2 linked regions of the Styela clava genome follow. The protein of the gene in region 1 interacts with the protein of each later gene in a biochemical or structural test. Links are inferred from orthologs where the notes say so. Each region holds a gene or a part of one and is shown on either strand. Other genes may lie near its edges.

Region 1 (12,685 bases):
ATTATATATTCATAGGACATATATTTATAGGGAATGTCATAACTCGAACTATATCTATGTTTGCTGACTTAATGCTATGAGAAATATTTTTTGCTAATAAAAACTTGAGCCTTTGGGTGATGTATACAAGTCAGTCAAATTACTGTTCGTAGGGTCCGCATTGATAAAAATAGATTTGAGAGGAGTACTGGGAATAAAAATAATTACACTCCATCCTGGATCTAGTATAGTTGGGGCGTTCAAGAGGTTTTCAGCATGGTCATTATCAATGTAAATGTACCAATGCGGTGATCAAACTGACCTAATCACAATGAAGTATAGGAGGAAAATTTGTAAATATTAAAGCTCAATAAAGGCACTCAAAAGATCTCATTTATATAAATACAATATTCAAAAGAAATAATATAACAGTAATCAAACATATAGGATAATTCTTATATCATTTGGATAATTATGAAAGTGATGGACAACTAAGACAAGTACAGTATGATTAACGAATTAAACGGGTTAATAAATAGTTGATGGTTGAATAGAACAACATTGCACGCTATAAAGAAATATCAGGTTAGGAAAAACATGTCATTTAAGATTGCACACTTTTAAATATTGCATAAACAGGTTGCATGAGTTCATTAAATTTTTAAGGTGGGGTCTTCTTATAGGCCATATTAACCCATGCATACTATAAGTAACAAGGAATTGTCACTGTATAATTTCAGTACCCATGTGACGAAGGAAGTGTGCATAATATTTTAGCAGTAGTATAGAGAGCACAGTAAATATAAATATAAATTGGTACAACATGAATAAATCACAAAAAATGAGATAATCAATAAAAACAGATTAGTGGTGTCATAATGTACAATACAGAATGAGTATGGGAGGAAAATTTGCAAAGATTGTAACAAAAAGAATGCATTCAATGGAACTCATCAATGTAAATAACAAAACATATATCAGAAATTTCCTAGTACAGTATGAGTTGTATTTGTTTCCAAATATTGGCATAGAGGGTAATAAATTAACCATGGTGCTATACAACTTATGACCCACAAAAAAATAAGGGCATCCACAATTTATGGTATCCACAGAAATATAGAACATATATGATAAATCCCCTAGTACAGTATGAGTTATATTTGTTTCCAAATATTGACATAGAGGGTAATAAATTAATCTTGGTGCTAGACAACATATGAGTTCTGACCCTCTAAAAATCAAGGACAGCATCAATTTATGGTATCCACAGGAACATATTATGATTAAATAGGTTAATAACAGTTGATGAAACAGCAAAGCAAAAATGCACACTATAATAGAACAGTTCAGGCAAATTGTGTTATTTAGGGCTACACACTATGACAAACAAACAGCAATTGATTCATAAAATAGTTGAGGGTTAGGTCTAATTGGCCATAAAACCAAATGCGGACTGTTGGTAATAATGCACAGAGTGTTTATTTCCAGACCCTTATGTTGCAAGAAAGGGTACACATATGTTAACAATAGTATATAGAGTACAGTAAAGATATATATATATATATTTATACAGCATAAGTAAGAATACTCAAATGATGGGGGTTGTTATTGAAAATGGAATTATGGTGACAATAATGTACAAATACAGAACAAGTATGAAACAAAAATTGCAAAGAGAAAGGCTCAAAGGAGGCTCTTGATGGAACTCAATTAAGTAAATGTAGTGTTTAGGGGAAATAATACAACAGTAACAGAACATTTATAAATGATTATTCCACATAATAATAACTATGCAAATGAAAAGCACGTATAGTATGAGCTATAATGGTTTCCAAATAATGGCATAGTGGGTAATAAATTGACCTAAGGGATAAATGGTGATGGGTTGTCAAAAAAAAAAAAAAAAAAACTGAATTCATAAACAATTTAGGGTATCCCTTGAAAAATATGCTTTCAGACAAAGATATCAGGGGTGTATTTGTTAGATTTAAAGATATAGTTAAAGAATATGCCATGTACACAAAAAACAGCATATATATGCAGACACAAATAATCAGATAAGTTGACAGTTGATAAAACAGCAAAACAAATTTGCACACTATAATAGAACAGTTCAGGCAAGATTTCTAGGGCTGTACATTAAAACAGACATACAGCATTGATCCATAACACAAAAATGAAGGTTAGGTCTTATTGGCCGTAATACCAAATACAGACTATTTTTTTTTATTAGGCAGTTATATAGAGAGCAAAGTAACAATATTTATACAACACAAGTAAAAATAATGTAATTAATAACAACAATGAAAGGGTAGTTATTAAAATAGATTTGTGGTGACAATAATGCATGACACAGAATAAATGTGGGAGGATAATTTGCAAAGAATAAAACTCATTGGAGGCTTCCAATGGAACTAATTTATATAATTGCAATATTTAATAAGGGAGTTATACAACAGTAATAAAACATATATTTTACATAAGAATATCTATGCAGATCAAAAGCATGTATAGCTTGAAGTATATTGAGGAAAAAAAAAAAAAAAAAAAACTCAATTTATCAACAATTTACGGTATCGCTTGAAGTATATGGTTTCATTCACACAAGGATATTAGAGGGGATTTCGTTACTACTTATACAGTGGGTTTGAGGATATAGGTAAAACACGCATAAATTTGACGAGAATATAAAAATAAGATAGAGTATTAGACAAAACAGTTTTGTGGTGGCATGAATTGCAAAAATGCCTAATATGCTTTCCCAATGAGAGATCAAGATTTACCAAAGGTTTAGGAGGGATTATTATGAAGCTGTTAGTAACAGATTTCTATATTAGTATTTGTCAATGAGATGCTTCATATATTTAGACTTAAAACTGTTGTAGGATGATTCCTTGATGTCATCAGGAATATTGTTCCAAAGACAAGGACCTGTTATTTTTATAGAACTCCGAGCCGAGCTTGAATTTGTCCTTTTGACAAAAAATGCTCCTCTACCAGCCAACCGAGTATTATATCCATGAACATCGCTACAATTTGTAAAGTAGTTTTCAAACGCATCAGGCAGCATACCATTTTTAAAACAAAACATGATTTTGGCCACTTCCAAATTGTATACATCCATAAGTTTGAGGATGTTCATATGTTTGTAGATCGGACTTAAATTTTGTCGCAAACGTGTACTAGTCAATATTCTCAACGCACGATTTTGTAAAACACTGATTCGATTCAGATAAGTCTTAGAAGCAGAGCCCCATGCCACAATTCCATATTGAAGATGAGTGTAGAAAAGCGAAAAATAAACAGTTCTTAAAACTCTTTTAGGTACAAGATGTTTCAATTTGGTCATAGCACCAAGGGCTCTTGACAGCTTACGAGCGAGCTGATCAATGTGAATTTGCCAATTTAGTTTGTGATCTAGGTTGACTCCTAGGTACTTCACAGAATCATATGTAGTCAATATCGAATTATTTAGGGTAAATTTTGGAGTTATGTTAGAGGATTCAAGACTTTTGGCACAATTAATTAACAAGACTTGTGTCTTAGCAGGATTCACAGTAAGTTTGTTTAGAGTGAGCCAGTTAGAAATATTCAGCAAGTTTGCATTGACTTTATTTTCCAAGTCAGGCAGATTTTTTGCTGCAGACGTAGAACTTGTGTCATCAGCGAAAAGTTTTATTGAGGCATTGGTAGCGTTTACGATATCGTTAATATGTATTAAAAATAAAGTTGGTCCAAGAACCGACCCTTGCGGAACTCCAACTGAGACTTTTCCACTCAGTGAGGCAGAACCACCTAATGACACATATTGATTTCTGTCATGCAAATAACTCGCAAACAATTTATTCACAACTCCGCGAATACCATAGTGACTTAATTTGGTAATCAAAATGCTGTGATCGACAGTATCAAACGCTTTTTTAAGGTCCAGAAATACGCTACAACCTACTGAGCCTTCATCTATAATGTTATAGTACTGACTGACAATGTCTATTATTGCATGGGAAGTGCTATGTTCATTACGAAAACCAAACTGGTCATTATTTAGTACTGAATGTTTATCTAAGAAGGATTTTAATCTAACTAGTAATAATTTTTCAAAAAGAATAGCAAGACATGATAATATTGAAATAGGGCGATAATTTGATACTTCACACTTATTTCCAGATTTAAATACGGGCACAACTCTGGCTACTTTCAAATGGCAGGGAAAAATTCCTAGAGACATTGAAGCATTAAAAAGTCTACATAAAACAGGGCTAATGATATTTTTTAGAACTTTCAAAAGGTTGATTGGTATACGATCATGACCTTCTGCCTTACCATTAGTAAGAGAATTTATATGCGTTTCAATCTCAGAAGGAAGGGTGTCCTCCAGATACATAGATGACTTATTTGGCCGTTTTAAATAATTGAAAAAGTCGTGACTATTACATCATACTATACAATATAGACCGGTATGAGTGAAATGTTAGGTGAACTTGTTAACCCTTTGAATCAATACGCAAATAAAAGTGATTGAGCAATAGTACGTTACAGCAATGCGTATATATCCTCATTGGTTAGAAAAATCTAAATGGAGATGCATGAACTATTTGAAACCATAAGGGGTAATTAAATATGCAATTTCAGCAAATGGGCAACTACGTACCGTACTGAATTAATAACTTCGTAGTATTTGAAAAAGCTTAACAGTGCGATGCCCGGGTGTGATATACAAAAATAGTATTTACCTTACCTTTTTCCGATTTCTTTTTAACTTAACTTTCCAAAATATCATTAAAATCGACAACAACTGTCAAAGCAAGCACTAACATCATTCGTGCTATGCCTTGAAAGCAGCACACATCCGCTCGTTTTCGTCTCGTCAAGTATGTGCATTGGAGCGTGTTATCGATTACGATCTTCGGCCAAAAATGCCGGAGTTGCGCATCATGTTGTTTAATGTCATTGCTCATACTAAACGAAATCAGGGGAGCAGGTGTGTTCATGCTTGAATGAAAATTTTTCCCACTGGGTGGAGCTACGTGTTCATATATTTGAGCATAGCTCTCTTGTTAACTAATCCCGTACCCGACATGAACTGGTAACAGGACGAAAGGCCGTGGTTCGCCGTGAGCTTAAGGCGCCTTATCGATTTTTTCTTACCGAAATAATTATGAAAATCCTATTAATGCTAATCCGGACAATGGCAAAATAACGCTATGACGTCATCAGTTACGGTACCGGGAAATTCTGAAGGTGTGGGGTTTCGTGTTTGCCTGCTATAATGAGTTTCTATTCATCGGCCTGATTTTAGATTTGTGTGAAATGGGAAATATGATTAATGGATTCTAAGATATATGCAGATGACTGAGAACTCTTGAGCATATTTTTATATTTAGACAACTGTATAACAAAATTTTATCATTTTAAGTTTTGTTACTGTTAGGCTAGGGTTGAGGTTGAGCCAAAATTCTGGGATTGTTGATTACAGGATTACGGCTTTCAGGCTTTACAGTACGGTACTGCAGTACCCAATCACTGAATCAGTAATTTATTTTTTCACATACCGAATATACGAAAGTATACAAACAATAAGGTAAAATATAAAATAATGTATTTCAGCATGAAGGGAGACGCGATAAATCAGTCATGGTTATCGAGCAAGAAGAGTAAGAAAGATTTATTGCCACAAAACGCGGGTCTCGCGTAGTTTAGTACCTAACGTGCTTCTAGTGGGCGTAGCATAACAATTATTTGATATGTCAATCCTAACCCCCACCTGATTACGCCATCCAAAAATTAAATTGCTACGACATCACAATCACGTCATAGAGCTTGCCAAATATACGCACGATCGACCAACATGGCATTGGCGCCGGCGATAAAGAACTGACTGACGTTATCGGTCTCTCTCCTATTGGAATCGTTGCGACGAGAAAACGAGAGAGATAACTTTTCGATTTCGGGTGCTCGTTTGCGCGTCTTGGATGGCAGTTCGTATAGTTTGAAGGGCTCTATTATGTCACTGTGACGTCGTAATGACGTTATTTTTGAATGATGTAGTCAGGTTGGGGTTAGGATTGATACGTGAAAAAATTGACATTCTACGCCCACTAGAAGTATGTTAGGTAAGAAACTACATGAGACCCCAAAACGCCACCTTTGAGGAAGTGTAACATAGCATCATAAAAAACTGCGCCACCTTTAAGGGAGTCTAACATAGAATCATGAAAAACGGGAGAAGGAAGCCGAACAATATTTAATTGGCCATTTAGGTGCGTTACGTTATTTAACAAAAATTGGCCATTTATGTGCGTTACGTTTAAGCGACCTGGGGTTTCGATTACAATACAATTTTATTTCGATCTTTTGTCTACAACACAGAACACAACTAAAAAAACACAGACAATGGCGACAGGAAAATGGGAAAAACCTATATACAGTACAGCACACTATCCAAATTCCAAGAATTTCCCTCCATTTGGCTCAATAAATCAAACGCTCTATGTGTCTCACAAACAAGGGGCGTCTGGACCACATCAGATGCTTCATATCGCGCCATGCTTGTTTCAATAATAATCTTAATATATCGCGGACGTCACATGACCAAAGTTGCCGTTTTTTGCTGAAAACTCTCGAATGCTATGGTAACATTTTTTTTCTTTGGTAAATCGGAGGGACAACAATGTCCAGACGTCCACCAAAGGAGGGGTGTCTGATCATCTGTAAAATTGGTTTCTCTGAAACGGGACAATGTCACTCGATTTGTATAGTGTGCCGTACTGATATAAAGGTTTATAACGATCGCTGTACTGTAACCAGTGTTTGTGCCCATTTACTCACACTCATCGAACAAGTGAAAATACATCACGATAATCATACAATCATACTAGGATAAATTCATGAACGTGCATGAACACGAGAAAATAAAATTCATGAGCAAAGCTTGCTTGTAAAGTTGTAAAAAATTTGAATGAGTGAAATTCATGAAGAATTGAAGAAACAATTGAAAATTATATTACCGTGCCTGTGTAGAAATATGAATACCAATAGAGAGAGAGAGAGTAATAGCGATATACACATAATATTTACCGGTAACAAATTGCTGAATTTAGTGAAGTTTAATTGGTTAGCTGCTTCTTTTTATAAACAAACAAAGCTAAAAAGCAAACATAAAAACTAGTTTCGGGCGATCGCCCGAAATGACATCTGCTCCGCCGATAATGAACTTGCTAAAGCCGGCGATCTCTCTCCTATAGTGATCGTTGTGACGAGAAAGATTGCTTGCTCGATTTCGGGTGATCGTCTGTGCGTTTTGGACGAGCATCAGCATACTTCGGTGGGCCTTATTACGGCACTGTGACGTCGAAATGAGGTAATTTTTCGGTGACGTAGTCAAGTGGGGATTAGGATTGACATATGCAAAAATTGTTGAGCCAGGTCAACTAAGTACATGTGGTACTAAACTATACCAGACCCGAAGATACAACGGAAAGTCATTGAAGTAGTCCATCCCCATATCACAGCTGCTTTATTATTCATTTAATGAATCTGTAAACTCCTGAATGCTATGATACAAGCAGTTGGCCACAGTTTGTAATCAAACTGTCAAATGCAAAGTTGGGTATATTTATATATGGGTATGGACAAGAAGCTATGAATTTCCACGTAGTTTAGCCCTGTTATTGTATTTCCTCTCCCCCTGGATAAATATGAAAATTTTATCCGTAACAGACACCTGTTTTTACTTCATGTGTTTTAGATCTCACAATTAGGTTAAACATTTATTTGTATCACAATGTTTGCAAATGTAACGACACATACACCTATCAGGCTGAGAGATTTGATTCGCAATATTCGAGCTTGTAAAACTGCTGCGGAGGAGCGTGCTGTTATCAATAAAGAATGTGCAGACATCCGTAACGGATTCCGCGACACTGATACCACGTTTCGTTGCCGTAATGTAGCAAAATTATTATATATTTACATGCTTGGATTTCCTGCTCATTTTGGCCAGTTGGAAACGATGAAATTACTCCCTAGTTCACGATTTACTGATAAAAGAATTGGATATCTTGGTGTAATGTTGCTTTTGGATGAAAATCGAGAAGTCCAGCTTCTTATGACGAATTCATTGAAGAATGATCTTGACCATTCAAGTCAGTACGTTGTCAGTTTAGCTCTCTGCGCTCTTGGAAGTGTCGGATCAGCAGAGATGGCTCGAGATCTTGCACCTGATGTTGAAAAGTTAATGAGAAATTCTAACGGATATATCAAGAAGAAAGCTGTTCTTTGTGCATGTAGAATCGTTCGAAAAGTACCAGAATTGATGGAAAATTTTATCCCGTTGACGAAGTCGTGTTTGAACGATAAAAACCATGGAGTTGCCTTGGCAACTGTGTCCTTGATCACAGAAATGTGTAGAGCGAGTCCAGCGGTTTTGAAAAGTTTAAAAAAGCTGTGCCCGACTCTCGTGCGGATTTTGAAGAATTTAATCATGTCTGGATACTCGCCAGAGCATGATGTTTCTGGAATTAGTGACCCATTTTTGCAAGTTCGTATTTTACGATTGTTAAGAATCCTTGGATCACACGACGGCGAAGCTAGCGAGATTATGAACGATATATTGGCTCAAGTTGCGACGAATACTGAAACTAGTAAAAACGTTGGGAATGCAATTTTATATGAAACGGTCCTCACAATCATGGATATCAAATCTGAAAGTGGACTGAGAGTTCTTGCCGTCAACATTCTGGGCCGATTTCTTCTCAACAATGATAAAAATATCCGCTATGTAGCGTTGAATTCTCTTCTGAGGACAGTCCACACGGATATGAACGCTGTGCAGCGCCATCGCACCACTGTTCTTGATTGTTTAAAAGATCCGGACCCTTCGATTTTGCGTCGTGCAATGGAGTTGTGCTTTGCTCTTGTGAATAGCCATAATGTTAGAGGAACTGTTAGAGAGTTACTTGCGTTTTTGACCCGTTGCCCTCCAGATTTCAAGTCCGACTGTGCGTCAGGAATCTTTCTAGCTGCGGAAAAATTCGCTCCTAACCGTCGCTGGCATATTGATACGATGTTGAAAGTTCTCACGACCGCTGGTAATTATGTTAGAGACGACACCGTTCCAAGTTTGATACATCTGCTATCTGATAGTGATAAATTACATTCCTACGCCGTTAATTCTCTTCTAAATGCAGCAAAAATGCCTGAAAATATTGACCAGCAGCCTTTAGTTCAAGTTTTATCCTGGTGTCTTGGAGAATATGGAGACGAGTTAGCTGAAGGGCATCATGATTCTGGAGATGTAATTGAGCCAGTCTCTGGCGACCAGATTTTAGATTTTCTTGATGACACTATTGAAAGTTCATTATCGAATCCCGTAACAAAAGCGTATGCTATTAATGCAATAATGAAGCTCAGTGCACGAATACCAGGCATAGAATCTAGAGTTCGTCAAATTATTGAGCGCTTTGGAGTTTCACACAGCACCGAGGTACAGCAGAGAGCTGTGGAATATTGTGCACTCTTGGATAAGCATCATAATCTATGTGCTGGTGTTTTAGAATCGATGCCGAAATTTGAAAAGCCGCCGGCGGAATCGATCGAAAGAGAATCTGAAACAAATTATGGGGAGGAATTGGAAGACAGAGAAACGGAACAAAATGTGGCAACAGTGAAAGAAGCAGCAGCACCACAAAGCAATATTGATTTATTGTTAGATTTAGTCGATTTGAATAATTCCGCAGCATCGGACACGCCCATTGTCCCGCCCATGGGTGGGGCCCCTATACAACCAATACTTCCGATGAGTAATTCTCTTAATCTCCTCGATGACATCATGGGGTCTCCCCCACCCGCTATGCCAAATACGAACGGGATTATGGGTTCAGCCCCACCGCCAGCAATTAACGGGTTAGCAGGGCTAATGCTTGGTGACCCGGCTCCTGTTGCCACAAATTTCATTCCAGAAATGACAGCGTTTGAAAAAGGAGGTTTGAAAGTTATTTTTTACTTCGATAGGAAGCCAGGAGACTCAGTGCTTTCCATCAATGTCAAAACAAGTAACCAGACCCCATCTGAAATTTCGGATTATGTATTCCAAGCAGCGTTACCGAAGCAGCTACAACTCCAGATGTTGTCGCCATCAGGAAACGTGGTTCCACCGAACAGTGGTGGCACTATAGAACAGCCAATCAAAATTAACAACCCAGGAAAAGTGCCGTTGAGAATGAGGCTACGAATCTCATATACGATCAACGGACAACCTGTTACTGAAATGGGGGAAGTGAATAATTTTCCTGCTGCTTCATGGCAGTAGAGAGTTTCAAGTGGGCTCATTGCCCCCCTCAAAAGTGTATTATCACAAACTAAAACTGTCCCGAAAATGGGCTTTGTTGAAACTATCAAGATCATATATTTATATAGTTATATTTGAATTTAGACCAATTATGATGTAATAATATAATGTTCCCGCACCAACAAATTTTGTCAATCAGGCCTTGGCATATGGGGTAGTTAATAATCCTGGGTTTGCATTTTCTTCTTATTGTACTCGGAATGGTATATTATGGAATTATATTCGATATTTAAAATTCTTGGTTTTCTGATATATTATAGGGTCCTTAAAGTCTCAAAATTTTTTTAAACTGCAAAGGGAATTTATCGATACCATATTGTTTTGGCCCTCACAGATGTATTAAATGAGGTAAAAATGATTGAAAAACAACAATCCTGGTTAAGATATATTGAGAACCAACTTCATATCAAAATTGAAATGTACTAAAGGGACTTTCTTGACACCTGTATAATATGTCGGTACTTCCATAGTATGTGTACCAGGTTATGGTTAGGGCATAATTTTATTTTGATTTTCCCTATTTTAGTTCCGTTACGAGTTCGGCGACTGTTTGTGTTAGCCAAGTGGATATACCCCCTGCTCATATGTTTCAGTCCCTTCACACAACTTGATGTAAAGTAGGCGAACAAAATTAGTTACCTCCATATTGGTACACACACTTCTGAAGCGCCTATAAGTCAAACCAAAGAGCCTTGATAGAATATTTAAGAAGTGTAAAATAATAATCTCATTGTATCTGTTCTTTGCTGAATTTAATTTAGAATGTATTCAATTTTTAGAAATATAAATTTACATTGTATTTGGAGTGAAAGATTATTCAGTTTAGGCCATCTCTTTTTTAAGACTTCTATCTGTTTTCAAAATGGAGCCCAGTCAAACAAATTACTCCAACTAATTACTAATTGTATATTTTTATTCAAGTATGATCAATTTCTCGCCCTTCCGCCCCTACACCCCCCCCCCCCAAAAAAAATTAAGATGTTTCATAATCACCAACTATGCTTTAATTAAAATCATTTTCAACGGTGCATTACATTTTCTTTAGTTGACTGTATGTCTATCTAACCCTTTTTGTATATTTTTTTTTGTTCTTCCATTATGCCCTTTCAACGTTACATATCTTTGACAGAAAATCAGAATGTTAAAATTTCGAAAAAATAATTCAGTTACAATTGCTAGAAATATGTTAAAAAGAAATCACTCAAAAAAAGCTATTGTTTGTTTCATTTATTTTTTCATTTTGTGATCGTCGTTTTGTTGTTATAATAATTCTCATTGTGAACCATCCGATTAAGTTTCTAAGCTAGCACTATAGCATGCTATCTGCTACTGCATTTTTCAGGTCTGGTGTAGGCTTCTTCTAGGCTCAACAATATTTGCATACGCCATTTGTAACCTCTACCTGACTATGTCATCTAAAAATGATGTTACTAAGATGTCACAATGACGTAAAAGGGCCCTCCCAAAGTATACCGATGATCGTCCAAAGCGTGCAAATGATCACCCGAAATTGAGCAAGCTATTTCTCTAGTTTTCACTCAACATTACCGGGCTTTTGCCAATTAATTAATGCTTTAATAACTCTTAGTCTAATTTTGAGCCTTCTTTAATATATAGACCTGTTATTTTAGAAGAGTATGCCTTTGCCTCAAGATATTTGGAAAGTGCATAACAGTGCATTTTTCTAGTTTTTAGCTAATATTAATTGTACCTTACTCAAAATGCGTTTATATATAGAATGGTTTGAATATCCCTATTGAAGTCTGATTGTCGCGTTTAGTAAGGTTTAATTACTGCAAACACTACAAAAATAAAATATTTATTTTCTGGCTTCCATTTCTAATTTTTGTAATACTCGAAATCTGAACTCAAAACATAGAGTTACCAATATCGCAGCCAGCCACAAAGTAAATGTCCAGAAAACCACTGAAGCAGAACTGGTAGCATTAATACCTTCTATTCGATATGTAATTATTCCGCCAATTTGCTTTCAACTCAACTTTGCCTCATAATTTAGTATGGGTTGGTTTCAAATACAAAATGAATTGTTAGAGAAATACCAAAGTGAAACTGGCAGCATCCTTACCCTCTGTTTGATATGTGATTATTCCGCCAATTTGCTTTCAACTAGATTTCACCGAAGCAGAACTGGCAGCATTTACACCTTCTGTTTGATATGTAAATATTCTGCCAATTTGCTTTCAACTCAACCTTGCTTTGTATATATGAAGTTAGGCTATTATATTTTCTATGTTATAATTTCCTCATATCTGGTATTGATTTATTATGTTGAATTATCAAATTCACAATTTTTTCCACTTTTGCAGAACATAACAGATTTTTGGGTCAGGGGTTGTA
Region 2 (12,123 bases), on another chromosome or scaffold:
ATCAATTTAAGAAAAAATTCTCCTCCTATATTTTCCATGACCACTTTTTCATGTTTTATCTATTTCATCCAAGAAAATATTCGAGATTCTAAACTCAAACAACATGCTTCAAATCGTGTGTCGGCACAAAATATATTCTCTCAAATTTACTGTTTGACGTTCATTGTATCAAATTTTGTTATAGATCTACAATATTCTCAAATACTCATTCCTGAGTTTATATATCAGTCTCAGTTGACAACAGAGTTTGTCTCAAGAATGGAGCTAGGTCTTAACAGTCAGAGTTTTTTTCCTTTACACATTAATTTTCCATCTTAAAATTGCAGGATTTTCTTTCCGAACCAGCATCATTATAAGCAAAAGGACATCAATGTGAGAGCATCCTGTCTTCAATTCATTCGGCAACAAGGGACAGGATAATTTGGCAGCAATTTTACAAAAATGTTTAATGCAAATTTATCGGAAATGGATAATATGCAGGATAAAGACAACGAGACAACTTTAGGCTTAATGGTTTTGCTATTCGTATTTCTGTAGTGTTGATATTATTTATCTCATAGTCTAACGTAATTTGATATTATATACGTAATAGTATTTTTTTTTATTCGAGGTGGCTCAAAGCAAGGTCGTGGGTCATCGTTTACAAGGAATTGGTGTGACTGATACCACTGATTTGCTGAGAGCAACGATTTCATTCATTGTTGTGACAGAGATGTTTCTGAATGACGATTGATGTGGGACTCAAAGCAATTCACTTCAATACTGTCAGAGTAACGAGTATTTAGAAATAATTTCACAAATTTTCATAAAAGAATTCATAACAGAAAGCTAACATACGGAATCTTTATAGGTAATTCATTTGAACTTTTTTAAATTTGGCATTTCGACAAGAATTTTGTGGAGTGGCTTTTGAAACATTTTGCTTTCTGTTGTATTTACTGTGATATGAAACGCGATTTAAAAAATTCAAGAACTGTTAAACCTTGAACTTTCAAAGATACTTATATATTTTTCTCAGGCGAGGTGACAAATCGCCACTGTATTTAAGATCACCAAAGTAACCGATGTGTTAACATCACCTACATTTAATTCGGCTTTCCTGTAAAACCAATCCACAATATTTGTTTTGTGGCGCTTTTATTACCTTTCCACTCCAAACAAGACTCCCCGCAAGCAGGTTCGGCTTTGGTTACCCAATTTATCATATCTTAGGCGAGGTGGCGCTAGGACTCGACGTGTTTAAACATATTATTCAAACTTGGTTATCAATATGTCATTACACGTTTAATGGCAATGACAGTTCAGTGTATAAACGTGTATTGTTATTGTTTGTACTCGTGGTATCTTTTCATATAGTGTAAGTGTGTGTGTATTGGTTTGGCATGTGTAAACCCGAGTCAGACTTTAGGAACATTTTTGGAAACGACGATTATATTAAAATGACGTATGTTTTTAAACATAGCGACTCGACTCGAACTTTAATTTGAAATAGCATGGTCATCTGAGTCCCGAAATGTACATTGGATACTGTCCGACTTCGATTAGACCGAAGTTACACGTTGTCAAAAAGTACACCGTCTTTCTTCAGCGAAAATGAAGTTAGACGAGACTTACCTCTAATGATTTGCAAGACTCGACTTCTACTTGAGTTGATCTAACCCTGTCATGTGTTTTATGTTTCTTTTGAGACATTTCACTGTACTTTTCACTGTGATGATTTCGAGTGTTTCATTTTATTCACATTTTTTCATTAATCTCGTTTCAGTCAATAAAAAACAATTGGATTTGTTCATTAAGGGGTACGGGGTATGCGGCAATATCAGTGATATTACATACGGTGCCCTGGGATTCCATATTGGAACATTTCTGGGTCGTGAGTGTACCTATTTCTCATAACCACCACCCTTCCTACGGTACGGATTACACAAAATAATATTATAAGACCAAATGCCATAATTTTAAACTTCATTTTTAAAAGTTCAACTCGCTAAATAATATTCCCCAACTACTTAAGCGCAAAATCCCGTTCTTCAAAATTGAATCCGTGTCAAATCACACTTCATTCTTGAATAACTTTATTTTTTTTCAACAGTTTCCTTTCATAAAAATATAGGGATTCTGCATATATATCTCTATTAGAATTAGGCGCTGGCTCAGTACATGTCAAAAAAGAAAATTTAAATTGCATTTCAATTTCATTATGTTTATTTTATCAGTTTATATTTTAAAATTTGGAAATTTTATTACATTATTTATAGGTTACCTCGGTGAGAAATAATCCTGGAAATAACGACCGTAGATTTTACATTTACATTTGTCCTAATAATATATTTAGGCTGATACTGATTATATACTGTGCGATGAATTCTGACTACAGTTCGTAACTGTCAGATAATCTGCGTTTTATATCAATAAAAATGTATGTACGAAGAGTACATGCTGCTAGTGTTTAGTTCCGAAAAATATTTGATTCAATATTATCGAGTGTGCGACCATTGCCGCGGCAAAAAGCATCACTCTAATACGATTTTATCTACGGGCTGTACGAATTTTAGTTAGTCGGGTATTTCGTTTTCAGATGTATAGACTTGATGGTGGAGGGAATTGTAGCCGACCAGCGATTACGTGAACCACCCTACGACGGCGAGGAGTCCAGCAATCATCTCACATATGGGATTCGAACCTGAGAACCCACGAAGGGTAATCAGAGGTGTTGTGGCAAGCGTATTTCTAACGCTTAGCACGATGCGCCACGAGTCCGGCTTCAGGGCATTCCCTCGTCATGTTGACAACCCAGATACAATCGACTCAATGCTAGGCAAATGTGCAATTAAACATGTTTGCGAACCAAAGCATGAGTAAGAATTTGTATTATTTTTTGTGTTAAATTATTTGGTAGCTAAACATCCAAGCAACTCTTCAGCAACTAAGAATGTGCATTGGTGAAACTTTTCCAGTACTTAGCCAAGTACTTTAATTGATCCTGCTTACAATAAAATAAATGAATAGTGTAGTAAATATTCTATCAGAAATAAAATGCAAGATATAGCCTCAGGCGACGAATAATGTGAAGCCTTTTGATGAGTATGGCATCAAATCCAACGCCCTCAGGGAGAAAATACAATTTACTCATGCGAATAAAAAAGAGAAAGGCAAATGAGTCGCGTAACGACGTGACAAAGTTTATCGGCCGGTTCACTGGCCAGTTTGATGTCCGCGAATGTCGTGTTGTTAGAAGTCGGAAGGTTGAGAAGAAATGGTGCTGTGGTAAGAGTGACATTTGTCAATGAAATTAAAAACATTAGTTAAAACAGAAATCTATAATCTATCTAGGCTATAAGATATTCTATAGTTCACTCTAGTACCATATGAACACAAAAACTCAGTTACCCCATGGCAAAATAATTCCAGAATTATGACCAGTTAATTGACACAAAAATGGGAAGTAGGCTACAAATATTAAAGTCCATTATTTTTCGCCCTAACACAGCAAAATACTGACAAAACCGGAATATCTAAGGTTAGACTGAATAAAACTGAAGATATGTTTATACTGTTATCTGGGTATAGCCCAGGGCCAGGCTCTGTCTGTAACACCAGCACAACTGACACTGCACAGCAGAACAGTGAGCAGGTGAGACAATGTCTGAATGTGGTGGTACAGTGTTCAGGGTTGCCATATTGACTTTTTAAGGCCAAATTTGCCATTTTTTTCGCTTTTTCCAAACACGTTTGGCGTCAGAATTTCTGTTTGGCTTTTTTAGGTCTCTTTTAGTGTCTATTATCAAAATCATATGAGATACAATATTTATATTTAGTGTATAACAACAACCTATTGCTACTTACCGTAACATTTGGATTTCCCCGAGCATCGATTTCCTTGTTCATTATCTTAACCATAACCAATTACTGAATTAAAAATAATGTCAGTTTCTGCAGCTGCTCAGATAGATGTTCAAGCAGGGTCAAGCAGTAAGCAGGGTCAAGCAGTAAACATTCTGACATTGCCTCGTTTTTTTTTTATTTTGCGCGTTATTTGTCAGTTTTCAGTTCTGTTTCCAAAAAATAACTTAATTGACATTATGCCCAGCTATCCCAGGACTGCAGGAACTTTAGTTTAGTTGCAGTAATCAAAATTTAGTCTCACGAACGATATGATCAACAACAGTAAAATTAGCTATCAGTACTGCAGTAGTCCACCTGCGGGCAGGGGGTTGGATAATTTTTTTTAATAAAAATGATGGTTTCTAAATGTTTAGGGAGAATGTTTTAGGGCACCTATATCACTTACTACAGTACTAAAGAGCCACCCTGTATTGTATATATTGAATTTTAAAATAATGCTGTCTGCTTGATATATCTTTTTCTATTTGTTTTTTTTTGTGATTTTTTTTTAACTTTTTCATATAGATGTCAGCTTGACTGTATTGTGTCGAATATAGATTCTGTTGCTGCCATTCAATTAATCCTTTTTACTTTAAACCCGTCATCCTGCTGAAGTGGAAATTGCAACCGAAAATACAACATACGATTGTGTGGCTCACTAAATGAACTGATGGCTCTACATCAGCATATTGCAAACCCATCATTGTACCAAGGGCATCTAATCAGACAAATCATGAGGCTTTTGTACTTAGTAAAATTGTTGGCTTTTTTTCGTCTTGATTTGGCTTTTTTTGATCGCTGGGATCTGGCAACCCTGACAGTGTTAGCAGGCAGCAGCGGTGTCAATTCAATAATAATTCGACAGGTTACAGGGTTAGGACCAGAAGACAGACAGACTACGGACTGGATAGGCGTCAATTACAGAATTACGATTTCATTAACATTTTTAAGATCTTTTTGCGTGCGCTATACTGCTATAAATAAAACGAAAACCCTTGCTTAACTTATCTTTTTTCTGTCTGTACAACTGTACAAGGATATCCAATTCTACAAATTGAGAGTAAGATATAGCCTAGGTGGCCAAAGACCTACCGTAAGTTATTAAGAACAAAATTTATCGCATTATGCAGTTTTGTGTGTAATATACAGATATATCTGTATATACTACTTGGACTTATGTAGATCTTTCCTACTACTGTACTATTTCACCCATCATCTTTGGAGGATACAGACAGTGCTTTGGCTAACAAAATGATATTCTGAATATCAAGTTATCTATTATTAGTGACTTTCATGTTACCCGATGGCTATGTTGTGCAGATGAAAAAATGACAAATAAAATTATCTTTATATGATTAACTAAACATACGGCATGATGCTGGTATTCAATTTCAGGATATAGTAAATTCTTTATTTCACTAATGACTTCGAACATTTTTATTTTAAAATTTGTCATATTACACATTTCTTATTTAACAGCCAAACAAAAAATGTAACTTCTGACATTAAAAATTATAGAAAATCTATCAAAACAAGGTGTATCACAACTATTCTGCATTATCAAATTCAATTTGTATTAATTAATGTTTTCTGCTAGTTTTCCCATCGGCTACAACCCCATTTTAAATGTGTTCAAAATAACATATTATTAGATTTCGGCTATCCCTGATGACTACATATTATTTCCCTAACAAATCATTTGATCATAAAACAGACTTACTTTTAACATTATGTAAACCTAGTTTTGGTGGATAAATTTGATATCCTTATTCAAAGCCATTTATTGATTTTTCAATAAAACAATCGTAATTTTATATGGTAAATATTAATCTACAAAATCAAGTTTTAGGACAGTATGACCCGTTTTAAATTAACGTAACTGTTTCATATCAATTACTTTGTAAATATTGTAAAATGAATCAAGAATATTGCAAAACAAGGCAAGTTGAGTACAATATTTGGGTGTATGTAGTGTTTAGTACGACAATCGCATATGAACTTGAAAATTCATCAAAAAATTGTAGGCCTATACTTCATATATGAAAAAAAATTATATTTCAAAACTATTCTTTTGCGAAGCTGCCAGGCTTATTAGAGAAAATGTTGACATTTGAAGGGTCACAAAAAGTTGATAAATTCATGCTTTCATTAGCTGAACATTTTTTAAATTGGGATACATATTTTTGTTAGCCTTTGCTAATAAATTAGCAGTATATATTTCATTACTGGACTCAGAAAAAGGACAAGCGGTTGCCATATCTGTATAAGACTTGGATGAATCATCTGGCACCATAAAGCAAAAACATTACAAACATTTGAACTGATTGTTTTCCTTTGTATACTGGTATTCAAGATTGTATATGAATGAGTCATTACAGTGTCTATTTGAAGAGTCAAAGAGACTTCTGACTAGTAGCATTCTTGTAATATGGGTCAGGCAGGCATGGACTTGGAGCAGTACTGCATGAACATTTAAAATTGGAGCAACAAGTGGTGTATAACAGTCGTTGATCTTAATATTGAATTATTTTAATTGGTCATGTTTTTTGTTCAAACCGTAAGTGGGAAGTCGTGGCTATATCTGTTTTGATGTGAGAATAGGATAGGTATAGCCACTAATATCAAAGTAGTAGAACTAAGTTGGATTGGTGATGAAATATAGGATATTTTTTGTACCAGTTTGGCAGTAAAGAATTCACAGTTACCAGGTTGGTATGATTCTATACTACATACCCTGAAGAAATGTGAACCAATACTCGAATTTTATAATATAAAAAAAATATAAATTATCACAAATTTTTCTACCAGTAGAAACCGCACTCTGCGACACATATAGCAAGTTGACAAAGTGAGATATCCGAGTGCCCTGGTGGTGTCTGGTCACTGCAGTGGGTGTGCTGCTGGTCCTCTCCACCAGTCACTTGGCGAGTACAGGTAATACTAGTGATTTTATCTTTAATACGGTTGTGTTAACCACAAACATGTATTATTTATAGTTTCAATGTAATAACTTGTTTAAATTATGCTTTCCAGGTAAAAAAAAATATATATTTTGGTATTTCTCATTAGCTAATATGAACCTTCTACCATGGAAAATTCGGGAACTAACCGACAAAGTTACCAATGTTGTAATGAATTATACAGAGGTGGAGGCTCGAGTCCGTGAAGCCACAAATGATGAACCGTGGGGTCCTTCAGGAAGTTTGATGCAAGAACTTGCAAATGACACTTTCATGTATGAAACATATTCAGAAGTTACAGGAATGCTGTGGAAACGAATATTCCATGAAGGCAGAAGCAACTGGCGTCGGATTTACAAAGGACTTTTAGTGGTTTCGTACTTGTTGCGCAATGGATCAGAGCGTTTTGTTACCAGCACTCGTGAACATATTAACGACCTCCGAGCATTACAAAATTTCCAATTTCACGATGAACACGGCAAAGATCAAGGCATCAACGTCAGAAATAAAGCGAAAGAGTTGGTAGTTTTCGTCAAAGATAATGAAAGGTTGCGAGAGGAAAGGAAAAAATGTAAGAAGAACAAAAATAAATATGTGGGGATGTCTCACGAAGAATCCAAATTTGGTTTCAGAACACAACAGAGATATGATGAAGATGATTATTATCGCCATCGTCGCCAACATTCAGGATCGGATACCTATCATGATTCACCATCAGACGGGAGACGTGACACTCACAGACGAAATGAATCTAATGGTTCAGCTGCGTACAGTGATGATTTTGATCCGACTGATAATGATCGCAAATCAAGGGGGAAAGAATCCCCAAGAGGTGTCAAATACAGTTTCAGTGTTGAAAGCTTAGAACAACACAGCGATAAAGAAACGATAGAGGAATTACCAAAGCGAATATCATCTCCTGCGATTACCAATAATGCTTCAAAACCTCGTAAAGCTGTACCTTCAAAAAAAGTTAGCTTAGGTGCAGCAGCTCAATATACAGGTGATCAACCCGCTAAAATATCTGGATCTAGCCAGAGCAAATCATCAGGAGGTACAACAGCTGATACTCTCGACCTCTTTGGATCTAGTACTACAGAAAGCCAGCAGCAGCCTGATTTATTTTCAGATTTTGATTCACTAGCCACTACAAGAAGTGCGCCCAATGTAGCCCAGGAAGCAACTACAACTAATGGCGATTTTGCGGATTTCGGCAATTTTGAATCTAACGCTGCGCCATCAAGTTCAAATGTCGATCTTTTCACATCAACGCCACAAATGTCGTTAGACCCGTTTGCATCCTTTGAAGGTAACCAAATGCCGCAGCAGCAGCAGCAAACTATGATGGCTCCGCAAATGCCTCAACTACAGCCACAGATGAATCCTACGAATATGTATAATAACCAAGGTTTTAATATGATGAATTCTACTACTCCCGTTATTCCCCAGCAACCCGCTGCCAATCTGATGTCACCGACGTCACCCAATCTAATGCAGGCCAATTCAGCTCCTCTCATTCCGAATCAACCAACAATGGCTCCATCTTCACTATCCCAGCCAATCAGTGCTACACCTGCATCAACGGCAGCATCGAAACCTCTAAAACCCAATACTTGGAGTGATGTTAAAGGAGTTAACATTGATTTGGATCTTTTTGGAAAATCTCAAAAAACTGCCCAGCCATCTATGAGACAGATGCAACAAGGTACGCCTGTTGGAAATGTTACCATGGGTATGGCAGGAATGAATATGACCGGACAGGCACCCGGTATGCAATCACCTCAAATGCCTGGAATGATGGGTCAGGGTGCTCCAATGGGACAGCAAGGAATGAGAATGATGCCTAACAGCAATATGATGCCGCCCACTCAACCCATGGGCATGATGGGAATGGCTGGACAACCGAATATGGGTCAATATAATATGAATCAAATGTATGGGAGTGGGATGGGAGGAATGTATCAAATGCAGGGCGTTCCTGCAGCAAATAATTATAATAAACCTTTTTGAAAAGACGTTTAGATCATAACCATCTCAAATGACGATGCATATATGCATGATTGCAATTGAAGCTTCTAGTGACCTGAAATATGCAGATAAGATGCATGAGTATTGATCCCTATCTCGGTAAAATTTTAAATATGCTATATTTCATATGGATGATTATTTTTGTTAACAATAATGAACACCAATCACCCAACTTGGCATATGAATCTTAATAAAAGTATTCCAACAACCTGTTGTATTTGTATCTATTTATATAAAAAATTATAACAAAGATAGCTGATGGCCCTAAAATTTATCTTTTTTAATAATTATTTGATTGTAGTAATCAAGTACTTATTAGGTTTATGATCCCAAACAAGTGCATTTTATTTTAATATAGCGTTTCCTTCGATACCTATTGATGTGATTTTGATCTCTCGTAGTCCTATTAGGTTATATACACAGTAACACAGGCATTTATTGTTCGACTGTAAGATTATAATGGTACTGGCTAAACTGTGCATGTTATTTCTCTATATCATTTCTCAAATTTGATTCAGGCATATCAATCTTGCTACCTAAGTGGAGCAAAAGCTTTCATATTTGTATGAAGTTTCGATTCATATTAAATTTGTGATACCGTAGGTAATGTTCAAATTGCCTTGATAATCCATAATAAAATATCAACAGGAAATAGTTGTATTTTGATCAGAAAAATTTACTACGTTTTTTTTTGAAAGTTATTTCATACAGTGACTTTGTGACACTAGTTTCACGAGGTGCACACAATGTACTATTTACTTTTTGAAATGCCCGTATCATAGATAAATATCCGATAGTTATTTTATCTTTCAATGATAGGATAAGGCACCTGCTTTTATAAAGTTTTGTTCTTTGTTTTAGGCATTCCAGTTTAGTTTGCTTTTTTTTATGATTTCTAGGGTGATGGGTTGTAATGTAGATTTGGATGATGTCACCTTTTTGGTGGCTTTGTGTAGGAATAGTTAATGTGCTTAATTGTATGTTTCACATAACCTGCCTGCGGTCGGAAAGTATTACAAATGTGCATTACAAATTACAGTACCCTTTCAAAACATGAAAAGTTTCTATATTTTTTAATTTGATTTCCCAGTGGTGCGATTATAATAATCCTTAACTGGCTTAAGACTTTTTCATGGAAGAAATTAAATAGCTGTATACGATTCTATGTGATTTGTTATGTTACCCTGGATATGATATTGATTTCTGTAGCGGAATTGTTCAAATTTTACAAATAATTCTTCTGTGTCAGTAGGTACCAATAGAAGTATTATTTTGCATAAGATTCAAGCAGAATTGTTAAAATTGTCATGAACATGATGATAAAATGCAACTCCTAAGATTAGCCCGTTTTCCAGTCTTAGGCATGCATCTGATTTTGTGTTTTCATATATTTATCGTTTAAACCTATGAAATGTTTTGGCTTGATGTGCTGTAGATACTTATTAGGCTACACTTTATTAGTTGAATTAAATATTTATATTATTCTTAGCTTTACTGTTAGTTCATAATTTCACTTCTAACATGATTTCTATATTGGGTAAAACATTAAATAGGTTCTGGTGAAAAAGCTGGCCGTTTATGTTTATGCTTGTATCCTTATACGTTTTAATTTTATTGAACCAATTGTTGATAATAAACAATATTGTACATAGAATTTTTTGTTTTTTTCCCCCTCAAATCCATATTTACAAGTGGTATTTAATTGTTATGAAAATTGTCAGCTTTCTGTAAATGCTGCTTGAAAAATAAAAATATCAACAAAAACAGGATTTCTCCCAGATGAAGAGTGTGTTATTGTCCACAATATGATAATCAGGAGTGCTCAGATGAGTCAGATCATAGCTTTGTAGCAAAAAATCTTGCGTTCTTATTTGACATACCGGTCATATTGTTTTACAGGTTCCAGTAGAAATATTCGTCGTCTAAATTGAGATTTTGGTTTTTATCTGGTGGGGTCTGAAGCGTTGGGCTGATAATTGGACACCATTTGCCGGCATCAAAACGTTCCCAATCTAAGTGGTGCTATTGATGAAATACGAAGCTAGGATTTTAGTCAGTTGGGACCAACTTTTGTAAGAGCAAATTGTTTATTGTCAGGGTGGTAATTTTCTCAGTCTTCAAAGTCAGATTGTTGTGTGTTTGGTCGGAATGCTCGTTTTGTCATTGATATTTGCTTTCAGGCCGCCTTGCCTCCCATTTTTTGCAATCGCAGCTTGTGAATGGTTGACGGGTATGTGTCAAATGTAGTACCATATTGCGGGGTGAAACGAGAATAAATATTGACTATTCTACGCCATAACCAGGGATGGCCATAATGGAATACTTGACTATTTCGAATACATTCTAAAACATATTTTCGAATCTGGAATTCCGAATATATTCTAAAATTCCCCACATATTTTATTCACTTTTCTAAAATCCATGGACCAAGAAATTAAGCTCAATAATATTATCATTCTAAAGCAGCTATAAGTACAAATGGAATATGTGATAATATTGAAACTAGTGTTTTTTTTGCTTCTAAAAAAAGAGACATGATAAACACAGTATTCACACCTATGACCTATGGTGTATCTTGGCAAGCGCAGAAAAAAGAGCAATTATTCGCCTAGTGAAATGTTTTAAATTCTACAGGAAAATCCAAAGTTCTCATCGGCGCACACACTTTTTGACACGGTTAATTTTTGTTATAAATTCTGACTGTTTTTCGTCTGCGTGAGTGTTATTTAGTAGACCACCTACATCGTTAAGCTAAATTCCGCCACAATTATCCCTCTACACAAGCACTAGTTGTTGTGCTAGCACGGGCTTTAAATTTTATTTTGCTCCACCATTCCCTAATTCAGAAAAAGACGCAAATGTTATTGCGCAATCATCGTCATAATCAACTGAGTGAATCCGATTCCCTAAATTCCATCAGCCAATGACGAAAAATTAAGACCGAAAACCGTGTTTTATTTTCGAGTTGACTTAAATCTTTCTTGTCGGTTGTTATACTTTCAATCGTGCTTGTGAATTAATACCGTCAACTTAAGCTGAATGATATTATCCTCAACGACGCCGGGAGAAGGTAAAATCCGCGATACTAAATAATACTTGAGAGCTATTTTATACGCTGTGAATTGCAACAAGCAATGCGAAAATGTACTGTTATGTTTGGTCACTATCGCAAGTGATCATGAAACCAATTCCTACACAATTTGCGATTAGATTTATTGCCACGGCCGCACAAACTATCTCGACTAAGTTG

Evidence for each region.
Region 2: the proteins of AP-1 complex subunit gamma-1-like (region 1) and clathrin interactor 1-like form a complex in vitro, tested with the Homo sapiens proteins (2 studies listed by BioGRID). The link is inferred for Styela clava from reciprocal best matches to the Homo sapiens genes AP1G1 and CLINT1.

The regions. Positions count from the first base shown.
Region 1 is NC_135263.1:916,313-928,997, reverse strand, and holds AP-1 complex subunit gamma-1-like, read left to right. Parts: upstream 1-7,710; 5' UTR 7,711-7,762; coding exon 7,763-10,288; 3' UTR 10,289-11,286; downstream 11,287-12,685. UniProt on the Homo sapiens protein: Subunit of clathrin-associated adaptor protein complex 1 that plays a role in protein sorting in the late-Golgi/trans-Golgi network (TGN) and/or endosomes.
Region 2 is NC_135256.1:17,756,599-17,768,721, reverse strand, and holds clathrin interactor 1-like, read left to right. Parts: upstream 1-6,918; 5' UTR 6,919-6,959; coding exon 6,960-8,855; 3' UTR 8,856-10,651; downstream 10,652-12,123. Other genes in the region: uncharacterized protein LOC120328639, read left to right, coding at 327-420. UniProt on the Homo sapiens protein: Binds to membranes enriched in phosphatidylinositol 4,5-bisphosphate (PtdIns(4,5)P2). May have a role in transport via clathrin-coated vesicles from the trans-Golgi network to endosomes. Stimulates clathrin assembly.